Linked DNA regions of Schizosaccharomyces pombe. Changing the gene in region 1 together with any one later gene gives a genetic interaction. Each region holds a gene or a part of one and is shown in the gene's direction. Other genes may lie near its edges.

Region 1 (4,872 bases):
CAAGTGACAACTTTACACCTAGTAATACCGAAAGTACGATAGACCTTCCATCCGCGACTGATGCCTCTCATTTAATGTCAAGACCCGACCGGGAAGTTAATCATCTAATATTGTGCTGTCATGGCATCGGTCAAAAAATGGGTGAACGTGTGGAAACTGTCAGTTTTGTAAAGGATATTAGTAACTTTCGTAAAACTTTAAAAAAAACCTTTAATTCTTCTCCAGACCTGCAAGCTGTGTATCCCAAACTGAAGGGAGGTGGAAACGGTGTTCAATGTCTGCCTCTGTTATGGCGTCAAGACATAAGATTTGGCATGGCAAGGGACCTTGATTCGTCTTTTGCGGACGATGATGACGATGATGATGAATCATTGAACATGTCTAGAGATCTTGCATTAGACGATTTGGAAGACGATTCCATTCCAACTTTGGATAATATAAATATCCCTACGGTTACTGGATTGCGAAACATTATTTCGGATGTTTTGCTAGACGTCCTCTTGTATTGTCAGCCAAATTATCGAGATAAAATTTTGGCAGCAGTGGTGAAGCGACTGAATCGTCTGTACAATCTGTACAAAAAAAATGTCCCCTCATTTAATGGCCATGTTTCACTTCTTGGACATTCCTTGGGGGCTCTAATTTTATTTGATATTATACGTTACCAAGGAAATATCAAATACTCAAAACTGCAACTTGACTTTCCTGTTGCAAACTTTTTCGCCTTAGGTAGCCCATTGGGATTATTTCAAATGCTGAATGGTAAAAAAATTGCAGGTCCTATTCCTAAAACGAATTTGACTCGCAGTCTAAGTTATTCTGAGCAAAGTTTCGATTCGGGTGTCTCGATCCTTAGCTGTCAAAACTTCTATAATATATTTCATCCCACTGACCCCATCAGTTATCGTGTAGAGCCATTGGTGGTTAAGCAAATGGCCCGCTTAAAACCTCAGAAAATTTCTCACTTTCGCCCTCATCAAGACCTTTCAAGTTCTGGTGTAGGGCATAAAATTGCCGGTGGTGCTCTGAATGTTCTTTCTGGCCTTCGATCTGGTATTGCTAATACCCTAATCTTAAAATCATTGAGTTATGCTTCTGTGTTTAACGAGGCCACCGCTGATTCTCACGATGAATCACAGGGAGCTGAAAACATTCGGGATTGGCATATTGATGAGCGAATGTATCGATTGAACAAAACGGGACGTATAGACTTCATGCTACAAGAAGGTGCACTAGATACTTCTTATAGCTATGTCTCAGCAATGAATGCTCACTCTGAATATTGGAAAAATGTTGATCTTGCTCATTTTATTCTAACCCAATTACTTTAATACTTTTTCGAATTAATGCAATGGTAAACATTCTTTCCTTCCTTTTCTTATCTAAATTTTATTTTAATGTTTTACCTTTTATGTACGACTAATTCAAATGAGTTTAATAGATGAACTTTCCAAACAAATTTTACCTATTGATTTAAGAGAGAAGGCTATTAAAAGCGCCCATGACTTTGTAGATAGATTGATTGCTTGTATAAAATTTGACACAGTAATCCTCCTAATTTTTATGCGAAAACAATAAATCTTTTATAGCTTTGGCATCTGCTTGCAGGTACAAAAGTTGGGGTAAAAAAGAACATTCCAATATCATTTTGATAGTAGTTGCTTTAGTTTCATAGCAAAATTTTCCAAGAACAGGACATCAATTTCACCTTCTCATCCTCTAGCATTAAAATGTAAAAAAAAAAGGTAGCGATAGAAAAAAAACACTAAATAGCAAATTAAGCTTTTTTCTACTACCAAGGACTCTTAAAAAGTCCAGTTTCTATATACGTTGACCATCTCGTATTTCTGTTAGAGACAACTTAAACAAACGCAACGCCATTCAGTCGTTGGAAGAAGTACTATTCGTTCTTACAACGATAACGACATGCTGTCGAATTTGCTGCTTTTTTCGGACCCTTGTTGAGTTTCTTTGTTCCCCACCTTTTGAACATATATATAGACCCCTCGATGGCTTAGTTGATTTACTGAACCTCAACTCCGAAAAGCGTATAAAGTCGGGCAAATCTCAATTTCTTCATTTTTAATACTTTAAGAAGTCATAAAACGTGTTAAATTAGTTGATACACTGTTTTATTTGATTGAAATTTGAGATTAAGTTGGTTATTGTGGCTTGTCCTTACAAACTGTATGCTGATTTAGTTTGGAGCTCTTGTTTGGTTACCAAGTGCTTTATTAGCACGGTCGTTTAATTTTGTAAAAGTTTTAAATTTTAGAATAATAGTTCTTTAACTATTGCATTTCGTATCTGGCTCAAATGGATTTCAACAATATTCCCCTTGCGACCATTAAGTCCAGCGATGATAAGGGTAAAGACTTTATCGTGGAAATGACCACTCGTCCTTCTGAAACCAAGAAGAAGGTTCCTTTTTCTGAGGACATGCGTGAAATCCCTTCTTTACCGAACGAGGAAGAAGCGAATGCAACGGATCCACAAGCCAACGAGGTCGCTGATGAAAACGGTGAAGGATTTGAAGCTGAAAAAATCAGTAGTTGGATTTGGGTGCTGTCGGCTGTTGCAGGTATTTCTGGTTTGCTGTTCGGTTATGACACTGGTGTTATTTCAGGCGCTCTCGCTGTCCTCGGTAGCGATCTTGGTCACGTCCTTAGCTCTGGCCAAAAAGAATTGATTACCTCTGCCACTTCCTTCGCCGCCCTTATATCTGCAACCACTTCAGGATGGCTTGCTGATTGGGTCGGTCGCAAACGGCTTTTGCTATGTGCAGATGCAATTTTTGTCATCGGATCTGTTATTATGGCTGCTTCGCGGAATGTTGCAATGATGGTTGTTGGTCGTTTTATTGTAGGTTATGGAATTGGTCTTACTTCTCTTATTGTCCCAATGTATATTACTGAGTTGGCTCCTGCTCGTTTGCGCGGACGACTTGTCATCATTTACGTGGTCTTCATTACCGGTGGGCAGCTGATTGCCTACTCACTTAATGCTGCTTTTGAACATGTACATCAAGGTTGGAGAATTATGTTTGGAATTGGTGCGGCCCCCGCCTTAGGTCAGCTTATTTCGCTTTTCTGGACTCCGGAGTCTCCAAGGTATTTGCTTAGACATAACCATGTTGAAAAAGTCTACAAGATTTTGTCTCGAATCCATCCCGAAGCAAAGCCAGCTGAAATTGCATATAAAGTCTCATTGATTCAAGAGGGCGTCAAAGTTGATTTTCCTGAAGGGAATAAGTTTCAACATTTCTTTCATTCTTTAAAAGTACTTTTCACGGTTCCTTCAAATAGAAGATCCCTTTTTATTGGTTGCTTCCTTCAATGGTTCCAACAATTTTCTGGCACTAATGCAATTCAATATTTCTCTGCAATCATTTTCCAAAGTGTTGGATTTAAAAATTCTATCTCTGTCAGTATTGTTGTCGGTGCTACTAACTTTGTTTTCACAATAGTCGCATTCATGTTTATTGACCGTATTGGAAGAAGACGAATTTTGCTTTGTACTTCAGCCGTGATGATTGCAGGTTTGGCGCTTTGTGCAATCGCTTATCATTTTCTTCCTGCAGACACCACCCAAAACACAAACAGTGGTTGGCAATATGTCGTATTAGCATCCATCATTATTTTCCTTGCTAGCTATGCTTCTGGAATCGGAAATATTCCCTGGCAACAAGCCGAATTGTTTCCTATGGAAGTCAGAGCCCTTGGTGCTGGATTCTCAACTGCTATCAACTGGGTTGGAAATCTCATCATTAGTGCTTCCTTTTTGACAATGATGGAGTCTATCACACCAACGGGTACATTTGCATTGTTTGCTGGATTTTGTTTTGTTGGACTCGTGACAAGCTACTTTACTTATCCCGAACTTGCAGGAATGTCTATTGAAAATATACACAAGCTGCTTGAAAAAGGTTTTTGGCAAGCTGTAAAGGAAAGTACTAAACGCGTTAGAAAAGGAAGAATAGATGAAGCTTGAGATGAAATACCCATTTCCCCTATAAAGCTTTGTTTACTTTGTTTTCTTGGGAAAATACAAATGAAGCATATTCCATTTGTACCCTTTAGAAATTAAATTTTATAATCACAGCCAAATCTTCATTTTTATGAGAATATCTACACACCAATTGTTACGATTATTGATGTTTTTATTTAATAATCTACTCAAAATTACTTATTTTAAGCAATTCATAGTAATTATAATTAAATAATATTTCTTTAGATTAGAGTATATCAAAGCGATGTAATCAGTGTTTCAAAGTGTTTTGCAATATTAAATACATGAACTTACAGTGAAGTCATTTTTTCTAAGCTTTTACCGCGTATGTTCGGTAACGACAAAAATTTAAAAATATATACGATAGAAACGAAGAGCTTTCAACTCTTTAAATTTGTCAAAAAAGCTGCAAACGTTTAAATTCCGAAAATTTTAAACTAGGTCAAGGTATATTTAGGGCCATCTCCTCCTTGAGGGGTTTTCCACTGAATACCTTGTAAAGGGTCCTTAATGTCACATGTCTTACAATGGACACAATTTTGAGAGTTTATGACAAAACGCTTACCGTATGAAGAAGCTTCATCATTAACATATTCATACACCCCAGCAGGGCAGAATTTGTTTTCAACGCCCTTATATGTTTCAAAACATGATTTACGGTCTTTAGGACGGTGATCGAATAGGTGACAGGGTTGGTTTTCAGCATGCATTGTTGCGGAACGGGATACCGAAGTTGGAATATCGAAAGAAAGAACGTTATCCGGTTTGGGATAATTGATAGGTTTATATTTTGATGCAGACTTTGTAGCCTTTGCATCTCCTCCTTTATGCTTTAATGTCCATGGGACACGACCCTTCAGTACA
Region 2 (5,446 bases), on another chromosome or scaffold:
CGGGACACCGCTAAAGCCATAATGGCATAGAAGGAGACAACCCAAGCACCTTTTGTTTTTTCTTTATCGGAATAAAAGTTATCAAAAAGGTCCATAAAATTTTCTAAATCAAATAAAGGCCAACATGAATTTATATAGCGAAAATACCACTCAACACACCGATTGGCCCATGCTTTTTCTGGTACATTGCGATATACACTAATCCATGTAGGGAAACTTTGAGGAAACAGATCATTCATGGTGTAATCCTTGGGATGAATTTGGAAAATCCCTGGATACCTTCTCATTTTTTCATCTATTAGAAAACCGCAGTTTTGAATTTGCTGTACAAGCGATGGTATCTCGTTCGACGTTTCTCTCTTTTCTGACAGATCGTAGTTGAGCAAATTTAGCATATCGTCAATCCGAGATTCCATATTAACAGATCTTTTGCTTAACGTTATAATATGATTTCTCAGTTCAATCATTTCGGTGTACTCTCGAGTAATACCAGCTGTTGACTTCTTTACAGGCGGCTGCCCGACGACGATATGTGGGTCATCCTTGTCTACGTTTGGCTTCTTTACTCTTTTTCTTTTATTATACTTGCACGTTTCTGAGTACACTACACAATTCTGGCATTTTGGCAATTCGCCGTTACACCGAAGTTTTCTTTGCCTGCACAAGTCGCAAGCTGTGCTAATTTTTTTTATTGGTACCATTGTTTGCACATTTAAAAACTTCCAACAACACAGTCTTTTAGGCGTTTTTTTGGAATATTAAATTTTTTTGAAACTACTCGTACAGGGCACCTTGCAATATATACAATTTTGGAATTTTGTGCCATTGATAGTAAACAATGATTATCGCCGATCGATTTTTTCGCTTAATTTCGAGTATATTTCAATGACGCGAGCGCCATGATAATAAATGAACATTCCTTAAATGGGACAGATAACAAAATAATCAATCCAATTTATGGGTGAGAGAATTGTTCCTTACTGCTTGGTATCAATTTCAACCTGCCGTTCTTCATGTGATCTTACAAAAATCCATTAGTAACATAGCTTCATCATTATAAATACCATGGTAAACAGCCAAAAAATGATAATAAACAAGTCTAATCAAAAAGAATAAATGTGAATATTAATATAATGAATAGGATCAAAAGATAATGTTAGGATTTGGAGCTGAAAGCAATGGGAAGCAAAACTTTTGAATGCTACCAAATTATTCCGAACAACTACTTAAATGAAAAAATCTTTAACAATTGCTTGATATCAAACAACTTTCATTTTAGCTCGGAAATTCATTTTTAAAGGCATGAAATAAATATTGGAAGGAGCCATAATCATTCACATTTTTTGTACGTTAATTAATAACACTATGTTTCAATGTCCAGGCTTACTTATGTTAATTTAAATAAATGTGTTGAATCCCAGTTAATTGCCTAATGAGATTTCGACTTTGAGGCATTATTTACTACCATCCGAGGTTTTCAATCAGGTAGTTAAAAAAACATAAAACAAACATCAAAAGAGGTATATGATAATTAGAGTTACATATACTGTATCATTAGATACGTTGTCTCGAAAAAATGAGCTTAGTGTGGCACCAATCTTTTTTTCTTTTCTTGCAATTTACTAGACTCCACGCAGGTGGTCATTTTCAAATACTGTTTGTTTCTTTAGCTGGGCAATTTTTACCGGTAAAGTGCGCACATTTTCCTATCCAGCTCGTAAATATATTTCAAGCATTTTACTTCTCCTCTTTTGTTAACCACAGAGAATAGATAATTAATACACTTTCTTTTCTTATCTCTACAGAATCAAGTCGATCAGGTATACATTTTTACGACGAATCACTTTGAATATTATTTGTAGCAGAAAAACCATCGTCTATAAAATTTTGAAACTTCCTTTAATTGAACATCATAATTTTATAGTCCCGAAATATAACTACTATACATTAACCAACAAATGTTCTTCCCTATTTTTAAAGAAGGTATTTATAATAGCTCTTCCTTTTAAAGATGACTGCTTCACTGGCTTTGTATAGAATTTTTTTTTAAATTTGAATAGCGAAATGTACCATATTCGCAATGTCAATTATAGCACTATTAGGAATACGGAGTAATTATTTAACGCAATTTTGTATATGTACGTTGCAGATTATGTGTTTACTAAATGCCAAACGTAGAAAAATCCGTGGCTTTCAAATATCCTCTTTTTTAATCCATTATAGGCTGTTTTATTGCCTTTTGACCTATTTTAAAACAAAAAATCAATAATTTTCATCTAGAAACCACCAAAATATTACTTTTAAATTGTTTTTAATCACTTTAACGGGCTCGCTTTTAAAAAGCGATCAATTCAAGACCTTTGAGAATTATGCCGGAAGCATTAAATGAAAATGTTTCAGACACTGCATCAAATGGGCCTGTAGCAAAAACTAGAGCACCTCCTAATACTTCCTTTCGCCAACAAAGGATCAAGTCTTGGCAGCCATTGTTAACCCCTAAAATCGTGCTTCCACTTTTTTTTGTGTTAGGAATTATATTTGGTCCATTAGGAGGAGGATTACTTTATGCTAGCTCTATCGTACAAGAGCTAGTTGTTGATTATACGGATTGTGAGACTCTGGCTTCTTACGATGAATTCTCTGCCGTCCCTTCCAAAAAGTACACAGCTTCATTTGATCAATCAGGAACTATTGGATTTGACAAAGAATCAACCTACTGGAAACTGGAGAAAATTCTCGATAAAGATCTAGATATGGACGTTAACTACTGCATCATAAGATTCACAGTCCCATCTGTTTTAAAGGCGCCTATTTTCATATATTACCGTTTGACAAATTTTTTTCAAAATCATCGACGGTATGCTAAAAGTGTAGATGAAAAACAACTACAGGGAGTGGCTTTAACTGCTGACGAAGTTAAAGGAGGCAATTGTTTTCCTTTGGAAGTTAACGAAGATGACAAACCATATTATCCATGTGGTTTGATTGCAAATTCTCTTTTCAATGACACTTTTTCGTCACTGAGACTGCTGGATGATAATAGTGTTTACACTTTTTCTACCAAAAATATAGCTTGGGCTTCAGATAAAAGACGATTTTTGAAGACAAACTACAGTCCTGATGATGTTGCACCTCCTCCCAATTGGGTTTTGCGTTATCCTGATGGTTATACTGAATCAAACATGCCAGATTTGTCAACTATGGAAAATTTACAGGTTTGGATGCGTACAGCTGGTCTGCCTACTTTCAGTAAGTTGGCTATGCGGAACGATAACGACGATATTTTTCCAGGAACATACGAAATAAAAATTGGGTTGTTTTTTCCTGTTAAGAGCTTTGACGGTACCAAATCTCTGGTTCTTACGACGAGATCGGTGCTTGGAGGAAAGAATCCATTCCTTGGAATAGCTTACATTGTTGTCAGTGCTGTTTGTGTTGTGTTAGGTACCGTTTTTACATTAAGGCATTTTATCCGTCCAAGAAAGCTTGCCGATCATCGTTATTTAAATTGGGATTCTGAAGAAAATAATTTAGCACCCCATTTGAGTGATCGTCCTTAGGTTTGTCGCGATTGCCGACTATTTACAACTCTGGGTTGTAATTGCAAAATTAGTTTCCTCATAGTAGAAGGAGTTTTCTCTGTCTTCTTTTTTTTTCTACGCCTTCCGTTGTCTTTAGATTTCTTTTATTTATCAAAGGGTAGAACTATGTTGTTTTAGGTTTGATGATTACGATTGCTAATTCTGACATTCATATTACATCTTTTTGCTATACTCAATTTCATTAAAATATGACTTTTGAGGTATTTTGATGGACCCCTAATTTTCTTCATTACTGGCTTTTCAAAGGTAGTATGTGTTTTATATTTTGCTACTCAAATTAGTTTATTGTAACACACTAAATTTATCATTCAAAAGATCTTTGGAATGCCTTTACATGTACCATTCGTTTACATTTCATTCTTTTACGCTTTTCTCTTTAGTCTCATGAAACTGAGATACGGATTTTTTTTATCAATTAATAATTCGCATTATTAGCAGAATTTGTTACTGAAGTGTGCTAGCAGGTCATAACTGCTATTCTTTAGGATAAAATTGTTATGCGTGCTTACTTTGGAAACTCTATACCTGTTAATGATACTTTGGTTTAACATACTGATGAAAATATTACGCTGTTTGTAACAATCATAAATTTTTGCATTTTTCTTTTATACTAAACCGCTATTTGCTTTCCTCTGCTGCTCCATTTCTTGTCGTTCAAACCGTTTAAAGCCGTTGTTGACTATGACATTTGTATAATTAAAATTAAAAGCGTTGTAAAAAGGAAATGCTGGTGCGTAAAAGAATGCACTTGTGTATTGAAGTGTTGTGATTTGAGGACAGTCTACAATAGGTATGGCGATAAAAGTAAAGTAAATATCACTACTACCTGAATTTTGCAAGCTTATTGATATACGTGAATTGAACATTTATACCATGCCATACTGTATCATGTCAACAGGTCTAATTGGAATACTACGAAAAAAAATCATCTCTCGATATACAAAAGTCAGCACATGCTTGGCTGTATAGCGAGAACAAAAACAGAAAAAGACGATTTTGGTTATTCCTACAGACTATGCTAGCAATTAACTTATGGAGAAGTGTGTTCTTTAACCTTGCCCTACATGTAAAATATCCACTTGTAATTTAAAAAGATATTTCACAAAGTAAATTTTTCTTTTGACAATATTACAACCTTAGCTAATTTACTTTTTTTCTACCCATTGGATTTACTAATTTAAGAACGTGAGAAGCCATAAGTCAATATGGAATGAAGCAATATCTTATTGACAAGAAGTTTTCGTAGTTAACTTATTTGAGGAGTCTATTGAATACACACTGGGTTGACAATTAATTGCTCTATGTCAAATCGACTGGGGAATTAGCAATAACCATACTAATGTGATACAATGAAATGTAAATTTACAATTAAATAAAAGTACTTAATATTTCAAATATTAGCAACTAGCCGAAATTTTGGAATCATTAGCCAAAAAAAAAATTAACGCGCTTTAGCAAATGTTCTGGGTTGTAGATTTGCAGATAAGACACTCTAACGAGACTATAAGTTATCCAAGGCCGGTTATTTGATATTTAACATTTTCACTAACTTCAAACTGTCCTTTTAAAAATGGCGGGATTGGAATCAAAAGTTTCTGATATGAAAATAAAATCAGACGTTGTTTTTTATATAGACGAAGCTTCCGGTAATGATGAAACTGGCAACGGAAGTCAAACATCACCATTTAAAACTGCAATCCATGCTTTGGAAACTGATGCCAACTGTACGATCTTTGTCAAAAAAAATGGCAGTGAAGAGTTTGAGCCTATAACCACCAACGCTTTAAAGAAGGCGAAAAAGGGAGTTGAACAAGCCGCTAAGAAAAAGGCTAAGGCAGCTGAAG

The links.
Region 2: of itr2 (region 1) and mug89, a mutation in one rescues a mutant of the other (synthetic rescue), as found in Schizosaccharomyces pombe (one large-scale study listed by BioGRID).

What each region holds. Positions count from the first base shown.
Region 1 is NC_003424.3:1,391,580-1,396,451, forward strand, and holds itr2 (plasma membrane myo-inositol transmembrane transporter), read left to right. Parts: upstream 1-2,025; 5' UTR 2,026-2,316; coding exon 2,317-3,990; 3' UTR 3,991-4,241; downstream 4,242-4,872. Other genes in the region: SPOM_SPAC20G8.02 (DDHD family phospholipase), read left to right, coding at 1-1,331; cir2 (electron transfer flavoprotein-ubiquinone oxidoreductase), read right to left, coding at 4,446-4,872. UniProt on the Schizosaccharomyces pombe protein: Transporter for myo-inositol.
Region 2 is NC_003423.3:303,415-308,860, reverse strand, and holds mug89 (phospholipid-translocating ATPase complex Lem3 family subunit), read left to right. Parts: upstream 1-2,163; 5' UTR 2,164-2,369; coding exon 2,370-3,560; 3' UTR 3,561-4,946; downstream 4,947-5,446. Other genes in the region: SPOM_SPBC1773.12 (transcription factor), read right to left, coding at 1-701; asparagine--tRNA (Asn) ligase Nrs1, read left to right, coding at 5,173-5,446.